Struthio camelus: one gene and its partner. The protein of the gene in region 1 interacts with the protein of each later gene in a biochemical or structural test. Links are inferred from orthologs where the notes say so. Each region holds a gene or a part of one and is shown on either strand. Other genes may lie near its edges.

Region 1 (9,587 bases):
ATATGCAACCCATGGCTTCTGCTACCACCAGTAAATCAGACCTTTCATTTGTACTTTATCTGTATTCTCGGGTGTGTTGGCGTCAGCATGGCAACACTTTGCCAGATAGTTTCAGACTGCTATTCGAATGGAAAGTCAGTTCCAAAGTGCTACTGCCAGCACTGAAGTACAGCTGCAAACAGGAGAGGGAGAGCGCAATTGCTCTGCAAGAGGCTCCAGAGCAGTTTAGACAGAGATGAGAGCAAGATATTGTCACTAGCCTAACTCCCTATGAACGTTGGTACTTCATCCACCAGGTTCCTAGCTAGTTTATTAACACAAGGAGAGTTTAATGGGCTAAAATTTTACCCACCGAAAGCAGGAACTATGCCAAGCTTCATTAACAGTCCTGTAGATGCGCTGACCAGCAGCAATGCTGTCCCCACATCCTAGGCATCTCCAGATCTCTTCACCTGCATGCAGGAATAAGGCGAGTTAGAGTAACCATTTTACTTCAAAGGAAACAAGGATTCCTGCATCCCTGACAAAAGACATCCTCAAATTATGTATCTGACATCAAAGCCTTCACGCACAGAAAGTTAAGCCAATACTGGCCACTCTGTAATCCCAGGGACAGAGGTTTCTGAAATGAACATTTAATGTACTACTTCCCCCTCTGTTCCCCCCCCCTCCCCCCAAGATCCCACACCACCATCAGCTTCCTCATATTCTGCAGAAGAAAGCAATATTATTTTTCGCAAGGCCAGGAAGTCAAGCTACTGTTTCCCCCATGCCACTGACTCAGCACATAACATTTGCACTCATTTGTATAATTAACTGCATTTCCCAGAACAGAAAGAAAGGAAAGGCAAACTTTATTCAGCAGAGGACAACTCGACTACCAGGAAGGAATTACACACTTGAATGGATATTCCAGTAGAGACTGTACAACGAACACTAGACTGGAGCCAGATTTAGGGAGAGGGGCATATGCTATTGGCCTATTATTGCTTCAGAAAAAGCCGTGGCTAGTCCAAGAACTATAATAGCTTCTGCTAGAAGTGCCATAAAGCCCCTGAGACAGCTAGTTCTTTAGGTGTATACAAGCTAGAAAAACTGTATGAAGATTCTTGTACAAAGATAAATGCTATCCCGAATCCAAACAGATACAAGTACTATCTTAAAGCAAGAACCAAGGATCTGGATGGGCACAAGATGGTGCAAGAAACATGTTACACAGCTACTGGGCAGATCTCAAACCTGTTTCTTCTTGCTACTAGAGGTTTACTTGCAGCAAGGTTGCATAAAGAAAAAAGCATGCTTAGAGAAGGAAAACCACTAACCACGGACTTCCAGTTTCCAAAGAACAGAAAAACTCAGCAGTCACTCAATTACCCCTTCTTCCTAAAGCATACATTAAAGGAGACAGTTTTTCTCTGGGATCAATTGCAAGTATCAAATATTTGCAACGGGGTGCAGTTGCACACTTGCAAGCAGTAAGCTGTCAGATGCAAGCAGCTTCCTTCTGTAACTTCACCCTGTAACTTATACAGATACAAGATAGCTCTTAAACGGACCAAATCCTTTTCAATCATTTTCCTACAGTTACCACCTCTGTAAGTTCACATAAAACAGGGAGAACACCTACCCATTAGCTATTTGTGAGATGAACTTCATGTCAGCTATTATAGAATCTACAGGCTAGAAACCACCCAGGATATGCAAGTCTAGTACAGAAAAAGCCAACACTACTTCTAGGGTTACACTTTTCACTTACTCCCCAGACTCTGAATGGCCAAGTCAAGTTTAAAAAAGGTTCAAATGCCTACTCCAAACAGAACCAAGCTAACTTTTACTCTCCAGAAAAGACCCAGCTACAGCAGACACAGTCAGCTGTATGATGCTAGAGAAGAAAGCCGTAGAAGGTTAACAGGTTAGCATTTATAAGCCCAGCCTCAGTTGCACAGGGAAGATGATTTATTTATCTCATAGTCTCTCTTTAGCTTCATGGTTTAAACTGAGAGAACGTTACCACCTCCAACAGATACAATTCAAAGACACAGAACTACTAGGTTATGGGCTTATCAGAATAATAGTAAAAAAGAGAAAGAGAGAGAGAGAGAGAGAGAGAGAGAGACACACACACACAATATTCAGTGCTCCAGTAACAAATCAATATTGCAAAAGGCTCTGGGACTAGTTAATGAAAGCCCCTGTGACAGCAACCAGAGAAGCGGTATTCAGTACGTATCGTGACATAGTAGTTATGATTACCGCAATGTGGATGGGCAAAGCATCACCTTGAAATGCTAGGGTAAACAACCTGGGAGAGCTTAAAACAAATAGAGCAGGGAACCAAAAGAGAGAAGTAAAGATAAGAGGAGGAAAAAGTCTAGATTTAGTGATTAAAATAAAAGCTCAATACTCAGCATAGACTATGTAGAGGTGCTCAAGGTACAGTAAATTCCCCTTGCTCACATAGCTTTCTAAACATTAATAGGTATTGAGGCCAAGTTCCTTGAAGTTACACAAAACATAAGTCATTAGACTTCTATGCATTCTTACCCCACTGCGTGGGTCAGTTAACAACACTTAAAAATAACTAGGCTGAAGATGTCCTCGTACATTTTCACAGATAACTGTTTCAGTGACAGGACTTGTTGCTCAAGCACAAACAAGCACCACCCTTGTCAGGGGATGAGCAGTACCCACAAAGGTCTCTATGCAGACTACAGTGCTAGACAGGATTCATTCAGATGTGGCATAAGCTGCTACTTCATTTCCCAAGAACACTTCAGCTCAATACCTGGGAATGCTTCTGCTCCCTCCTGCTATCTGGAGCACAGCGAATTCCAGCTGAGCTCAGATCTCCACTGCTGGAAGAGGGTTAGGAGACACTTACAAAAAGCTTAAAGCTTGCACTACTTCACATGTGCCTCTGTAAAACGAAATGCTTTTCAGTGCACTACAACAGGCTTAGAAACAAAAGGCAAGTCCACGTATGCCCATGACATAACGGGCAGGGAGCAGGGGCACTTCTCTCCAAGTAACGTAACACAAGTCCTCAAAGCCAGCTGAATTACTTCTGGAATTCCTGCCACTCTACCAGCCAAGTAAGGCTGCAAATCACACATCCCTCAGCTCCACCCCCCCGTCCCCCCTTTAATGCCAGGAGCAGAAGAAACAAATGTGAAAGCAGAAAAGAGAACCTGTTTCCAGAAATTGAAGGACCAATTATTACACTACTGCTAACTAAAAGCAACAGACATTCCTCCACAAGGATCATACAGCTTTACAAGTTCACTTCTAAACTCTGTGCACTAGTCATCTTCCAGCTGCAAAGCTGAAAAATTTAACTGCATCCAGGAAGGCTGATTAGCCCACAAAAGGAAATGAATAACGCTATATTCAACTGAAATTCCTTAGGCATCCAGGAGAAGTGATGGAAGTGGGAGGGAAAAAAAAAAAAAAAACAGAGCAGGAAATAGCGCGAAGGAAAAGCAAAGAGACATAATCAATATAACAGGTCTGCCAAGTCCCGCAGGCCGGGAGGAGCGTTGCAGAGAGGGCCAGCGGCAAGCCGGCGAAAGGAGCCCCCCGCCGAGCAGCAAAGCCCGGCAGAGGACCAGCGGGGCCGCCCTCCGGCGGCAGCGGGGCTGCCAGGCCCCCGCAACCAAGGGAGCGGAAAGCGAGCAAGACCGCCGGGTCCCGGCGGACAACCACGCTAAGGAAGGGCGAGCAGGAAACGGGGACGGACAGCCTGGCCTCGGCGGCGCGAAGCCGCGCAGCCCGCCACCCTCGGGGCACGCAAACACCGCGCCGCCTCTCCGAGCCCGGCGCACCGGGGCCCGGGCCAGACCTCCCCCGGGACGCGGGGCAGCAGCGGGGCAGGCAGCGGCCGGCCTGGCCGACGGGCTCGGCAGCCGCGGGGACGGCGGGCGGGCCCGGGCGGGGCCGCGCGCAGCCCCGCACCTGCCGCCCAACCGCCTGACGGGAGCCGCAGCCCGGCGCGGCAGCCCCGCGGCTGGGCAGGGCGGCGGCGGCGGCGCTCAGCGCCCACGGTAGGCGCGGCGCGGCCCGGCCCTCCCCCCCGCCTCACCTGGCAGCTCCTCCATCACCGCTGCCGCCGCCGCCCCGGGGCTCGCCCGCGCGTGACGTCAGCCGCTACGGAGCGCGCGGTAGGTCACACCGCACCTGGCCCGGGTGCGCGCGCGCGCGCTCGCGCGCGAACCCCCTCCTCCCTTCCCTTCTCTTGCTACTTCTCTTTCCTCGCTTCTACGGCCCTGAGCCGCGCCCCGCCCCCGCCCTTTTCCTCCCCGCAGGCCCAATCGCCGCTCCGCCTCCCGGCGGCCGCAGACCAACCCCCGCCGCCCTCCCGCCCCTTCCGCGGCGCGGCCCGCCCCTCCTGCGGCCGGGGCCAATCAGGGAGCGGCCCCGCCCCGGCCCCGCCCCCCACGTGGCGTGGCGGGCTCCCGCCCCCCGCCGCCCCCCGCCGCCGGGCCCGGCCGCCCCTCCCCCGCCCGGCGGCAGGTACCGACCAACGGCCGTTGGGGCGCGCGCGCCCCGCGCAGCCGCCGTGACTGGGCCCCCGGCGGAGCGCGCAGAGAGGCCCAAGACGCTCAGGTCAATGTAAAACCATTTTTTTTATTCTAAATCACTTTCACAACAGTGAAAATTAGTGAACAGTAACGGTGACGCACTAAGCGAGCCGTTAGGGGCCGCGTGCGGTCTCAGTACAAGGGGAAAGTGCTACAATACAAAAAGCACACCGAGAGAAAGGTAAGAACAAAAGCATTAACACTTTTAGACTATTTCATTCTTGGATTGCCTGGAAATTAAGGACTCTCAGTCATGTTTCTGCAGCCACCTCAGTCTAAAGCCATTGCTTCTCTCACCAGTAGATGGCAACACCCCGCCCCCCAAACCATTAAAAATTCTGTATTTTAAAACATAAGTGTTAGTTAAATCTCGATTAATACCTCTTTTGAGCCTACGACAGTTACTTTTCCGTCCTCCTTGTAGGAAAAAGGCTTTAAAGGGATACCCTACTCCTTCCTGGGTAACCGCAGCTCCTTCTCGGCACCCAGTTTCTCGGTACTCGGGGAGAAGGAAAACCCTCCCTTGTACAACCACGAGAACTTTTCCTTTTCATCAGCAGGTGGTGCTGCCTGCTCACGAAAGCCCGTCAAAGCTGCGACGTTTTTTACAAACTATGGCCGGTTGCTTGTAGGAATGCAATAAATAGCCTTTCTCCTAGAAAGGGTCCTACTTCCCGAGTTACGCACTTGAGAAGAAGCAGATGTAAAAGAAGTTAAGCTTCTCAAAAGTGCCACACAACAAAAGTTGAAGCATTGCTTCAGCTATTTATAGTTGAGAGAGATATTCTGCCAGATTATCAGCAAGTCAGGTATAAACTCGACTGGATGTGGCAAAACACTGCAGAAGCTTTGCAAAATTGTACTTGCCACGTGGAATTTTGGAGGCGGGCAAGTTAAACCTCAGTGAACAGTTTATAATTACAGAAGTTAGCTTGCACAACAATTAATCAAGGTGCCTTGCCCAGGAACCTCATCCATATGCATGAGAAAAAGCCTAACTATTTAAACAAGGCTTCTATGAGTTGATTTGTTTTGTCAGCTGTCAGTCAACTGCCAAGGAAGTCAAAATATTCATCTTGCAGGAAATTATTATGACTATCAGTGATCTGAATCAAAATAATTAAAAATAATTTAAAAAAAAAGTTGGAATTGCCTAGTCAGAAGAAAAATCAAAACTGTTCATCTTGCTAGGGAATCCCTCATAGCTGCTGTTCTGAAAGAATCTACACAAATACATCAGGAATACTTTTTAAAGCTATGTACCCAACAGGATTCCAAAAAGGCTAGTCTTGTGTGCTCACCTTCTGAAACGTTTTTCCCTCAGCACAGAAATGGTTGTAGTTTCCTCCATTATTTCCAATGAATATCTTTGGTAGATATTGCAATGACTCTTGCGCTATAGCCATTTTGTTGTGGCACAGAGCATCTTTACACATCTGTACAGAGAAACTCTTCCAAATGCTCCCCACTGTGGCTAGCAAAGGTAGGATTTCATTCCCCCTCCTGCATAATTTTACAGTATGACAAGTTTAACCTCAAAGCTCACTTTAAAATGTCCCTCATTCCTCTCCCCCAAAAAGCTGATCTCAGATCTGTTAATAGGATTTTATTTGGAGTACATGATCTTGCTTAATGTCTCACAGCCTTAGGAAAAAGAAATGTAGCTACAGTGACAAGGCTGTGAGGGGATTATCCATGGGTGCAGCCAGAGACTGCTGTGAAGAACCAAGGAAGACAACACTGTTTTGTCAGCGGGGAACTGAGCTTGGGTGAGGCAGACAGGTGTGTGTACTGTTCGGCAACCCCAGCCAGCTCCACGACGAGAGCATCTTCCAGTGTCTGGCTCCAGCAAATGCAGGTTTTAAGAAACTGCAGCATAAACTTGTATCCCTTCTTATAACAGCCACTGGAACCACTTCAGCAGGGAGTTTTCCATCACTCCATCAAATAACAGCAAGAAAAGAAAGCATTCTCCAAAGCTGGTTCCATTTGCATCACAAGTCACGCCCAAGGAGTCTCAGCAGTGCTGCAGATGACTTCCTGAAGAAGGCTAGATGTTGATGTGAAGACATCAAACAACATCCGCAACTCCAGCTGGTCCATCGTGGTTGCCAAACATGAGATACAGATCACACTACAGAACTTTGCTTACCTGCCCAGCCTACCTTGGGGCAACTGTCTTTCAAGTAAACCTGTTGTAACTAATTGGCACAGGATTTAAAAGCAGCACTCCTTTTAGAAGTGGAGCTCAAAGCTAGCCCCATGGTTTGTGGCAGGAACCTGTTGTACAAGATAGCTGAGCTGAAATATGCTTTTAAACCAATGTTTAATTTCCAGCTCTGGTGCAAAACGCGAGATTCTTCATTGTGCTGTGGTACCACCAGTTTCTGGAACCCGTGATTAGCTATGGAACCAGACACCAAGAGGTTTAAAATGGGAAGGGGATGCAGTTTGTAACTGTTTCAGAGGCCTCGCTGGCCATGAATATACAGGATAATGGAAAAGATTTATGCAATCAACAGCCAGAACATTATCACCAGAGCCACAAACAGGAAGAGGCGGGATAGGAACTGCTCATCCACATATTGAGGAGTCCCTGGAACAGCTGGAAAACAGGAAGTAAAAAAAACAGTTCAGCTCTTTCAACTTCTCCAGAATATTGTATATTCTGCATATAGCACATTCATAAGTTGAAAAATACGCAAGAAATCCACCTGCAGAAAAACTGTTGCTGACAAGGTTTCCTATCCTTGGGTTGCCTAGCCATGCCAGAAGGTCAGAAGGAAGAGAAGCATCAGCTCCTCAGAGCAGAACTGGCAGTAGGCCTGCTCATGACTAATAGGAGCAGGCAGCTCCAAGTGCTAAGTCCGGACAAGTCCGTTCAGAGTACTGGGGACAAAGCTGAGCTAAGTTCATTGTTGCCAGGTGTTTCCATCCTGAGGAACTTTACAACCTCTGCCTCAGCCTTCCTTCCCCCTCAAGGTGAAATACATCTCTCTGCATATGCAAATGGTAACAGAGTCAAAACTTGCGTGTGTAGCCTTGACCAAGAGAACTGATGAAAAGCGCACAAGCTTAAAGCTCTGGATGGACCTTTCTGGAACTGCTGTATTGAGTCCCCAGATGAAAAGCAGATAAAAGCGTTGGTTAAACGATGGCTGTATATCAGCACACATTTAAATACCCCTCAGTTCAGGCAGACCCCACACAATTTTTCAGTGCAAAGCAAAGTATAGCTGATAGGCAAGTTCATTTGGCCCAAGGACAACACAGGTCCTTTTCAATACACATGTGACATGAAGAATGACCTTCTGGTTTTTTCCTCATAATTCCTAGGCCAAAACACAATGTATCCTCAACCCATATTATAGAGTGAAGTAAATTTACCAGGTGGAACCTTTCACCCAGGAAGTCCAGAAAACGTTGGGCAGTAGGTTTTCTCGTTTGAAACAGGTAGACTCAGTTATTCCTACAGTGCTGATAGGGAGGTGTGTTTCTGGGGATTACCAAACAACTTTTAGAGAACGAGACCACTATTTGAAGTAACTGAACTGTTTTTTCTTAATTAAAAAAAAAAGTGAAATTATTTCACCAGAAAGTGAAATTTTGTCACTTAGCAGGCTATTTTTTTAGAAGTCACAAGTAAGTTTGTAAAACATTTGTTTATGATATGACTCTCCTAGAAGGTAGGACGCACAGTACCTGGAGGAGGTCGCCCGTCATTTATGTTGAATGCTGTGGCAAATATACCAAAGGGAAAGGCCCCAATTCCGAATGACATTTGGAAGCCACCATCCCCAAACCCAAAGCCCTGGAATCCCTGCAGAGAACAAAGCAACAGAAGATTAAAAAAAGGCTACAAATCATTTAAAACATATCTCAAAAACATTTTGCAAAACTGCAGACAAACGTTCCCTCTTGCTGGCTTCTTTCCTAAGGCTGAAGGATTGGCATGCTGTCTGACAACTTTCAGTTTGCCACGCTATTGTTACCTACCTCCCTAGTTCTCCTGGTTGTAAAGTGTTTCACACAGTAGCAACTTTCCCAGAGCAACCCAAAAGTTTGAGAAAAAGGAAACCAGGAACTGCAGTTCTTGCTTGAAGGCCACAAATTAGCCAAAGCATTTCTGTAATTTCTCAACCTAAAACCAGCATATATCTGACAACATATCAAAATCAACATTACCAACGCTATTTAGAACATTTAAATACTGCAATTCTATATTAAGAGCTATTAGCCATATCTAAAGCAAAGGCATTGTGAAAAATAACCTATATTGATTTTTCTGATATACATGCATCACTTAAACATTCAGTAAAGGGATAAATTGCAAGTGGGATGCCTGGAGCATTATAGGGAAGAACAATACCCAAAAAAGTATCAGGGAGCCCGTACCTGAGCTGGCATATAAAGTCATCTGGGGCAGGATTGCAGGACAGGATAAAAGAACAGAAGATGCAACAACACGGACCCATAGGGGGTCCAGAGCAACATTCCATGTCAAGTCAAAAGATAAGTCATCTGTGTCAAGATGAATCGCAACATATAAAAGCAGTGGTAAGAACCAACTGTATGTAAATCTTAAGCAGTTTTGTCATCTTTAACTCCGGAGAGCTCGGTGTCTGTGTCCTGTAATACAGCAAACTGTCCACTTGTCTCAGAATTATACCAGTGATATCAATTCTGAAAAACACTCTGGTCTATCACCTCCCAATAATGGGAGGGATGAAGATGGATTTCACTAGTATAATTTAAGCCAGATGTTTCTGTGTTGATCCTTGATTTGAGGAGTTAGTCTTGACTATGACTCTTCTCAACTGCTTTACCATTAACTCTCTATCGGGGACAGCAAAGCACTCTGCACGGCAGGTCCTGCATTTGTTGGAAACAGGAAGGACAGCATCGCTACTGCTATGTCTTCATACCATATTCCTCTGACTTAAGGCAACACCCGCTAAAAGGTTCAACCGAGATGCAGCAGCTGATTTAATAAGAAGACAACTCCCTGGA
Region 2 (10,328 bases), on another chromosome or scaffold:
GAAGTCCCAAATACACAAACAAGTTTAGTCACAGTTGTAACTTAGAATCAGTTTTCTTACTCTACTTTTATTACAGTCCTGTTTATTTTCTTGTTTTCTCTTATACAGCTCCCTCTCTCCTTTGACTCAGCTTTACGAATTTCAACTTACATTCCACAGGAAGGAAGTTATATAGTTCTCAGTATGTCTTTTCCTCCTGTTTTGTTGTCACAACTCTTCTCCCACACCTTCCTGAATCCATAACACTCCTTCCTTTGTATTAAATCTTCCCCCCTCCCTCATCTTCTTTTCTTGATATTCTCATACTACTTCAAACATAAAAAACTTAGGGTATTTCTAGCACAAAGAACCTAGTTCATTGCATCCACAAAACCAAAATGGCTACAGTCCACTTGAAAGGTTATTTCAAATCCACCCGTTAGTCTACAAGGGTTACCAAGTGATGGGGTGGGGTGGGGGGAGGGGGAGTGCATGGAAAGCAAGAGTAAGAATGGAAGCAAAATAAAGTAAAGCTAAAGAGGATAACATCTAAAGAACAGCCAAGGGCATTGCTGAGACTGTTCTTCACACAGTCAAAAAAGTTTGTTTCTTGAACCTAAAGAAGTTGCAGCATTTTTCAGCCTATATAGGCTGAAAACTAGTATAGAGAATACTAGTTGTTGAATTTAAAGTACCTGTGCAGAGATATTTATATATTACAGCTTAGATGCACAGTTAACTGACACCTCTGCTGAGGAAAAGTGAAAACCGCCATAAATAACATCAACTCAGGCCTTTATTCAAAGGTTTTTAGAGTGTTATTATTATAAACAAGGGCAAGCTTATTTGTATCAAGTCCTATCATCAAACATGACTTTATTTTTTAATGCATCAGGACTGGAGATTGACAAGTTTTTGTTTTGTTTTGTTTTTTTGTGGGGGAGCTGGGAAGGAGAGGGGAGGAGTGGAAGGGAGGGTAGGCAGAGAGTTCATCCTGAAAGAGGTTTTAAGTGGAGATCAGTTGCACCTCTACCTAGGCATTTTTTTTGCCCTTAAGAACATCTCCATATAGATACAGAAGGAACAGAAAGTTCCATCTGAACATGAGGAAAAACTTCTTTCCTGGAAGGGTGACTGAGCACTGGAACAGGTTGCCCAGAGAGGCTGCAGAGTCTCCTTCCCTGGAGACATTCAAAAGCCATCTGGACACAATCCTGGGCAACGTCCTCTCGGTGACCCCGCTTGAGTGGGGAGGTTAGACTAGATGATCACCAGAGGTCCCTTCCAATCTCAAGCATTCTGTGATTTTTATGATGGATTTAATATGCAAGTAGTACTTTGGGCCAAGAACGACGCTGGTCTTGTGAATCATCACACTAAGACCTGGTGTCAAATATTTAAACCCTTTAAAAAGGGTTAGAGCAGATACTTACATGCTATAGGAACTCTAAAACCAACTAACAAGGAGAGATACAAGGCCCAGTTAAGTCCAGCCAACACAGAGACTGATACAGTGACTAAACAGAGTTAACATATCAGCTGATGCCTGAATCATAAGTAGGGGCTAGCCAAAAAAAAAAAAAACACCCTATCGATCATACCATAAGAAGTTACCTCTAAAGCAATACTTTGAGGTACGCCAAAATCTCAGAAAAGTCATAAGAAATAATCAATTTAAGAGATATTCTTAATACTTGAGGTGCAAACATTCTAAAACTTTACACAAGCGTGACAGGAAGCATCCCAACAAGATCAGTTCCAAAATTAACTACAGCTTAACTCCAAGCTGTAACGCATATTCACTGGAAAGGAACAAATGCTGAAACTGATTAACCGATCAAGGAATACAGTTAGAAATACTATCAACCGCATGTTTGATTATCTGCAACCTCCTACTGCTGTAAAAAGCCCCAACAATATGGCCAACCTCAGTGCACATACTAGAAAATTGAGACAAGATTAACTCTGGATGATTAATTGATTCTCTATTCTTGACTTCTACCAACAGACAATGGGTATAAAATGCAGAATTTTGAGGCACTGTCTTGCATCATCAAAACTAACAAAGTACATTGTAAGCATCAGACCAGTTCCACAAGCAGTGGTTTTCAGAGGACATCCAGACCACAAGATGCGTAACGTAGTTCAAAAGAAATAGCTTCTCTACAGGATGTGATGCTACTTTCCTTAGCGCCAATAGCAGCCACATGAGGTTTTATCCATGGAGGTAGGTTTGACCTGTCAATACTTACAGCCTCACAACTCAGTAATAAGCTAAACAGAGCACAAGATGCCACTGACCCACACCCACTCTTTCATTAGAATCTCTCTTCCACAACTTTTACGCTTAAGTGCGCTTTATGGTAAAAGCCAGACAGTAGACGAAGAATGACTGTTAATAGCTATCTCCACCTCCACACCTCTTCTTCCACTCCCCCAAAGTCAGAGTTCACACTAGGAACAAATTCAATTTAATGTTTCCTTTCTGCAACACTAGTAAGCCAAAATAAAAAATAAAAATACAAACTTTTATCACTTGCTCCAAAGAAAATGAATTAGCTGGATCAGCATAAAACCATACATTACACTTCACTACTATTTAAGGGCATTTCTAGGAGTACCATGTACCCAGATACATCACAAAACAATTCACAAAACTATTTGGTATACGCTTTGTTAAGACACTTTTTAATCTCAGAACCGAAATAATCCTCACTTTTGTGCAAGTAACCATCAAATGATGTGGGTTTTACATGAGGAATGAAGGGTTACATCTTGCTTTCTTATGATGCCATTACAAGACTGACAGCATTGGAGAGAACCAAGGAACCACCAGGTATGACCAAGTAGGAAAACAAAAAGTAGCAGACCCCGTATTCCTGGCTCAGCATATGGAGCTTAATATGCATTTAAACCCCTGCCATGATACTTCTCCACCTGTAAGGGCATTATAACTGTAGAACCGTATTTTACAAGTCATTAGTTGATATCTGAGTCAGAAGTCAATACTGCAGTGCTTAATCACAACATAAGAGCACCTCACTCAAAAAAAAAAGTAAACATTGCAGAACAGGAAATTGGTCTATCAAAGCTATGTACAGTCTTTTGCTTACATACAAGACTGGCACTCATGAATTGCACCTTTGCACAAAAGGCATCCTCTGCCTCTCATAACAGCCAGTGAAGTAAAGAAACGTGCACGAAACGAGTGAGATGGCAACTCTGAGGCAGGTGACTGGGAAGTCACCTGCTTGGTAGGAAAGCCACTCACCCGGCAGAAAGATTCACACACTCTTTAGTTCAGTATTGGGTAAACAAGACATCACTACGGAGTTAAGCTGAGTGACTCAGCCACGAGAGAGAGATTCAGTCCCACAGGGTAAGAAATTCGGGGAGATGGGACAGAGGGCCCCATCGGCGCTCGCTACTTACCAGTAAACAGTCCACATTCACTTCAGATTTGGGGTCCTTTAAAGTCACATCGATTTTTTCAAACCGAGACTCAAAACTTTCTCCCGTCGACATGTTTCCGAAGATAAAAAGTTTCCCTTATTCCACAGCAAAGCAAGGGTTAAAAAAAAAAAAAAAGAAAAACAGGAACAAACAAGCACAAAAGAGAAACCACACAGCCTATAACAGGCTGAGGAGCGCTTCCTACAAAATCCCTTCAATCACCGAAGTCTCTAAGGCAAGTCCCCCACGCTGCCCCACAAAGGAAAGTTAAAACCAAAGGAGAGTGCTTTGGAGTCCGCAATTGGGGGGTGAAGGGGGACAAGGTTGCTTCTCCCCTCTCCTGCGCGCACGCACTTTCCTGGGCTGCTCACAACTCTGTAGCAGGTTTCCTCTCCCTCCCTCCTCTACTCGGGCCCCAGTGTCTCAGCAGCCTCATTTTCCCAGCCGGGGAAGCCGCCCTAGGAGCCAGCGTAGCGGTTCCTCCTCTTCGCCCTGCAGGATCAGCCGCAGGTAGGTGCCAACTTCCGAAGCACAGCTTTCTTCGCGAAAAAGCGGAGGAAAGAGCAGCGGCAGCAAAAAAAAAAAAAAAAAAAGAAAAAGCCAAAGTGCCCCAGTCTGCACGCACACCACCACAGGAAAAATAAAAGGGGGGTGGGGGGGGAACCAACTCAGGAAACTCCTCTCGGCGGCGTGCCTCAGCGCTTCGGGGTTGCTCCCTCCATGGAGCAAGGGGCGAGGGAGCCCGGGGCGGCCCGGGGGCCGAGGCTGCCCCCTCTCCTCGGCTGTGCCCTGCCTGATCCGGGCGGGCAGCGCACGGCTGCCAGCTGCGCACACAGGCCGCCCTGGCCCCCGCTGCGGGTGCCCCTCGCGGGCAGGGGACGAGCCGCTTCAACGGCGGAACGACGGCAGCAGCAGCATCTTCCTCCGTCCTCCTCGTCGCTGCGCGGCCGCCGCCGGCTCCTCACTGCCTCCCGCCGCTGCCAACGCCGGCTCCGCTGCTCCCTCCCCGGCGCCTTCGCCTCACGTACGGGACGACCGGCCGGGCCACTTCAGGACGGACCCGGCGCTGCAGCGTGAGCAGGAGGAGGGAAGGAGGTGGCTGAAGGGGAGGGGAGAGCACAAGGTCCGGCAGCAGCGGCGACGGGTGTGAGGGAACCTGCGAAATCCACAAACATGTCCGCCTTCCTGTTTGAACACTTGGGGGGGGGAGGGCGCAGGGACCGAGGCGCAACGCGCATGCGCTGACGGCACAGCTCTTGACGGGCGGGGAGGGGAAGGCGGCAGAAGGTATGCGCGTGGGGTGGGGGCGTGCGCACGCTGGCGCTGGCGCGCGGCCTCCCGCTCCTTTCCCACCCGCCCCGCCCCGCCCCGCCCCGCCGTCGCTCAACGGTCGAAGGAGGCGTGCGCGCGCCGTGCCCGCGAGACCGGGGAAGGAAAAGGGCGGGGGCCGAGGGAACTGCGAGCGCGAGTGGGCGGTGCGCGCCAATCAGCGGCGGCGGAGCGCGGGGGGGGGAGGGGGGAAGAGAGGGGGCGCGCTGAAAACCGCCGCGGCCAGGCGGGGCGGGAGAGGGTTTGACAGCGGAGTGGTGGCGGGCCCCTTCCGGGGGGGGGGGAGGGAGGGAAGAAACGTCCCCCTCGTTCCCCTTTCCTCTGTGATTCCCCCCCCCATACACACACACACCCCCATGGTGATTTCGATGGGTGTTAGACGCGCGCAGCTGGGTGCGCGGGAGCGGACGGGAAAGCCCGAGGGAGCTGCCATTTCAGCGGGTCCCTGTGAGAGCTGCCGGCGGGGAGCCGCTGCCCGCCTGCGGCTGCAGAGCGCGGCAGTGGGCAGCGGTACGCTGAGCGCACGCGCGCCGCCCCCAAGGGGCAGGTGGCTGTTGGGCCGGCGGCCGCTGGCGGCGGTTGGTGCTCCGCCAAGAGCCGCGCGTGTGAGGAGGCACGCGTAACTCGGCGGGACCGCAGGAAGGACAGGTACAGCACTGAAACGTCGGACCCAGTGCGGCACGTCGTGGTGTTTTCAGCTTAGATGTCAAGACTGCCGTACAGGGCCTGTTCCTTCAGAAAGGAAACTCGAGTAGCATTTTTAAATAATTTAAGTCAGACGCCACGGTGCTGGTTCGGTTCTTCGGCTTCCATTGCAATTCCAGGAATGGTAAAGACATTTTTACAAAAATCATTACAAATCAGAGAATGCCAAGTGATTAATCACTGCTCACTGAACAACTGCCAGTCAAAAACAAAACCTGAGTCACTAGCCTTATGAGTTACTTTCAAGGTCACGATTATGAAACAATCTGCATCCAAGTGCTAGGGCATCTGAGCTATTCAATCTTGAATACTCACTATTTGCTACCTTACCTTATCCAGAGAAAAAAAGAAAGGGCGTTCTGCATTTCAGTTCTCCTTATTCACACCTCTCTGGATTTTTGTTTCTCTCCTTAAATGAGAAGTATGTACAGTTACAGCAAAAATACAAGCTGCAACAACCTGACACTCCTGTTTACTTTCACTCATTTTGTGATGGCTTTTATCACAACCCTTTGATTCAGAGGGTTCGGTGGTTCGTGGAAATGCGGATGTCCCATTTCAACAGCCGCAGTCCAAGGAGAACCTCTCGGGTCCTCTGCAAACTGCTGTGTAGGCTTGTGACCATTTCATATGCAATGCAGCAAATAAAATACAAATACAATGCTTCTTACAGTTCTAATATTAAACAGGGTAAGAACAGTCATTAGAAATACGGAGCCTAATTCACACTGCTTCTAGGCACCTAGTTTGGGCATTAAAATACATACAGGAAAGATGCCAGGCCTCAACAGGTGATTCAAAGTGCCTATCTGAAAAAAATGCAAAATTCATGAGGCCTGTAATAGAGTAGGTAAGAGGAAGCCTGATTCTGTAGCTCAGTGGGAAGGATCACCCCAGGAGCGACAAAATCGTGAGCTGTGCTCCAGATGGTATTTATGTGGTTTATCCAATGACTGTGGGAAAATGCACAGGTAGTCTTTGGAACGCAAGATTTCTTTCATCCTTTCCGGGCCTCTTTTCCCAAAGCTGCATGTGTCTTTCTCTCACTTGCCCTGTGAATCTTGCATTACTTTTTTACAGCAGCCCAGCTTCAGCACAACAGGTGGTGAAAAGCCCCATCCCATTCGCATGGCTGTTTAGAGTATTCACAGAAATGTGAGAGGTCAAGATTGAAAAGGGCCTAGAACCCACACGTTTATTTGCTAGTGAATAATCTTGCCACTAGAACAATACACCTTAGGATCTTTTCCAGTGTTTCTGGTGAGAGAAGCTGCTATGTTTTGTGTTCAGCTGTATGTAAACTGTGTTTCAAATACTTCTATCAGATTGGGCTTTTCTAGCAACCATGGTAAAGTAAAAGTGCTTGTCTGTCTGTATCAAAATTAAAATAGAATTTGTGTGGGAGGTGCTTCACCCAGCTGTCTAGGAAACTATCAGGTGGAAAATAAGACACCAATTGCTTTTAGGTTCCTACAGATCTAGGCAGTGCTGGAGATGAGAAGTTTTGAATCCCTCTCTGAGATTTAGAAGCATAAAATCGGCCCATCTTCCACAGAGGTGGACATTTAGACAATCTGAATGTCATTCATAGTAAGCACTGCTTTGAAAATGTAAAAGTGAGGCTTTGTCTACAAAGACCAAAAGGAGAATAAATTCTAATTTTAAAAGCAGGTATGGGTTAGAAGTGACTGATGTAACACACAGAATGCTCTCTTTGTAACTCAGGGTGTGACCGAAGCATGTAACATAATAATTTCTAACTGAGCAAACACTCATTCCCATGTTTGGATCTCAAAGCACATATTCCTGTGAACTTCCGTCAGACTATTTCTATTTCTAAGATTAAGAGTTTGTATATTTCTAGAATTGGCCACTTAGAAATAATATTAAGTTCCATAATACATAGCCAATCATAATGCCTTGAGCACAGTGTTTTAGGAATATTTTTTTCTCTGACAACACATAAACTAAAAATGGGTAGTTTCTTCTTCCTGCATTTCTTGCTTCACTTTGGAATTTAGCTAACTTTTGTTGAACGAAGTGAAAACTACTCAACATATGTATGAACTGGTAACGCTGAGCTGATTAAGCATATAAGCCTGAAACGTTTTTTTTCCTCTCCAAAAGTGTATATCCTCTAATACTAGGAACTGTGTGTAACCTCATGTCCATGCTCTGTAAGCAAGCACATTAATATCCTTGACAAAGCAGGAATCATGATCTTTGCATTCATGTCATCTTGCCTATTTTATAAGATATTTAAATATTCCTGGTTTTAATGTGATGCAAATATGACAAACTGACACTGACTCAGGAGTTGCATGTTGATAAAGACTGCAATTTCCTAATAAATACAGAAGAAAATCAGTAAAGTATAGAATCACTATATTGGCTTCCTCTAGAACATTAAACCATACTTATAAAAAGCTTATTTGGTAGTGTTTATCATATAAATAGTATTTTATATTACAGTAATCCATCCTGTATTACAGTAATCAGACTGATCAGATATCATCACAGTTTAAATAGTGCATATTTCAAGAAATTAATAAAAAGCAGGAATAAAACAGCAATAGAATACTTGGCAAACAATCGGGCCCTCTCTGAAGCAGGTATTGTCACACCAATCCTCTCATGAAATAGCTAAGAAAGATTAAGTCAAAGGCCTTGTAGTAAAGTCAAAGGCCATCCAGATTTTTTAGGTCGCTGAGTGTGCATCTTTTAAATGAACAGAATGAGAGAAAAAGCTAGGATATGGTGATTTCTGATGTAACTACTGACTTCAGAAGAGTTACACAAGGCACAAATGAGACTATATCCTGCTCACCATATTAGGCTAAGTTAGTAATGTGCGTGTACCTTCACATTCAACTTCCTATTTAGTCAGCATGAAACCTACAGCAGTTAAATCACGTTACATTAAGGCTGCCTTTGGTCATCCACCCTCTCTTCATGTTTGCCATGCAATACTGACTCAAGTTCACCTCAGCTGTAGTCTTTAGGGCATTCAATAGCACAGATCAATATTGCTCAAAGCTCTGAGATGAAAACTGTGGTCAGCAAAGGTACTCCTTCGGGAAAATAGTCTACCACAACTAAAGCTCATCTGTGCGACAGAAAGGCCTTTCTCAGGAGCTTTCTCAGTATTTCAGGCAAGGAATGATGGCAGCTCACGTAGACAATACTGAACTGGCTTTAGGTAATGATAAAGTAACACCAACACTGGTATCTGTGTACCTGCAAAATTTGAAGAAAAGGCTGTGTTAGGTGTTGAGAGGTGGTTGCTCTATTGGCTATAGTCTTCCTGTTGCCTGTTGGCCAATTTCAAATGCAGTCACACTATTGACTGCAGTACAGCTCCCTTGCTTCCTCTGGACGCCGGCAGCTCAATGTGAAAAAAAAAAAAAAAACTCAGGGAATTAAAGATCATAAGCTTAAACTGCAAAATGCACAAACTGTGAACATGTTAACAAATTCTACCAATGGGAGAGAGAGAGAATATTAACAAACGTTACAGGTATTAGTTGTATCACTCAGTACACTAAGAGAAGGCATTTTGGTTCTTCCAGGATGAGGCAAAATGTAGCAAATAGAGTATAGAGTAGAGCAGAGCAGAACAGAGTAAAAATTACCTATAAAATAAAAATTGCTAGGAAGAGAAAACAAATTTGAATAATAGGAGACAGAAAGGATAGCCCCTTAGCATGAATATACTTAGTGAAAGTAGTACCTTTTCAAATATTTGAAGACACTGAAACATTGCAATATGTATGCGTGCAAATATATATGTTTTGCTGCTTGTTACTAGCTTTAGTTCTAGGTACATGATCTTCTATAGCCTAATGTTTTGGGGCTTCTTGCCAAAGGACAGTTACTGCTGTTTCCTTTTACAATGGAGTGCATTCTCAGGCACCATAGTACTTTTTCAGATGTAGAACTGGAATGCCGGGGAGAAATTGCTCCGCAGCCTGGCTGTAGTGAGTGATGAACAAGACATGGGGCACCTGGATTTTTGTTCCATTTTCTGGGAGTAGGAGCAAGAAATAAGTGAAAAAATAACCTTTTGGATCCTTTCCAACGGCCAAGTTTGATGGAGGGGCCCAGGTCTGCAAACAAACTGCTGCAAGCCAGGAAGTGAACTGGATCGGATTGTCTGCTCCAGCGGAAACACAGAAGCAGTTGCTGCCAGCAGACAAGGGTATAGTTATATAAACAGCTCAGCGTAGGCTCTCCCAAAGTAACTTTTGCTGTATCTGGAAAGGAGGGGAGCTGTGAGTCCAGAGATAGATACCAATCCACAGGGTAAATATCTGGTCACCAGATGGCTCAAACCAGTATCAACCATGAAGACATACACAGTGCAGGCTCCCTTTGCTTTTATGCTTTAAAAGTGCAAAAAAAGTCTGTGACCAATATATGGCACAAGCTCACAATGTGATTTTAAATCAAATCAAAACAAAATTCCACTAGAACGCTGAAGGCTTCATACCTCAATAAGGACAGTTTCCGTGGCAAATACCATTTTCCCACTGAAGCCATTTGGTGGGTACAGGAAAAGTTAAGATGCCAGAAATTCTTCTTTTAGCCTGGGAAAAAGCTTTTTTTTCACTATCCTGGAGCTTAAAATTGCCCCAAGTACTTCTTGCTTGCAATCTTCAGAAGCCCACTAAACCCAGTCAGAAGAAGCATGGAAAACTTTACCCTGTAAAATGAAGGCTGCAGAAAGTTAGGAGTATATTAAAGAAGGAACTAAAAACAACTCTCCTGATGGTATCATCTATCAGGATATAAAACAACATAGAATTATTTGTATTTTCTTATTCCCGTTATAAGTAGAGTGATTACCTTCATTATAGACCTCT

Evidence for each region. The genes of interacting proteins can lie anywhere in the genome.
Region 2: of the proteins of LIMK2 (region 1) and ROCK1, one has a biochemical effect on the other in vitro, tested with the Homo sapiens proteins (2 studies listed by BioGRID). The link is inferred for Struthio camelus from reciprocal best matches to the Homo sapiens genes LIMK2 and ROCK1.

The regions. Positions count from the first base shown.
Region 1 is NC_090958.1:8,181,189-8,190,775, reverse strand, and holds the start of LIMK2 (LIM domain kinase 2), read right to left. Parts: upstream 4,283-9,587; 5' UTR 4,095-4,282; coding exon 4,079-4,094; intron 453-4,078; coding exon 353-452; intron 1-352. Other genes in the region: E3 ubiquitin-protein ligase RNF185, read right to left, coding at 7,085-7,182, 8,280-8,397. UniProt on the Homo sapiens protein: Serine/threonine-protein kinase that plays an essential role in the regulation of actin filament dynamics. Acts downstream of several Rho family GTPase signal transduction pathways.
Region 2 is NC_090943.1:120,255,355-120,265,682, forward strand, and holds the start of ROCK1 (rho-associated protein kinase 1), read right to left. Parts: upstream 4,662-10,328; 5' UTR 3,505-4,661; coding exon 3,412-3,504; intron 1-3,411. UniProt on the Homo sapiens protein: Protein kinase which is a key regulator of the actin cytoskeleton and cell polarity.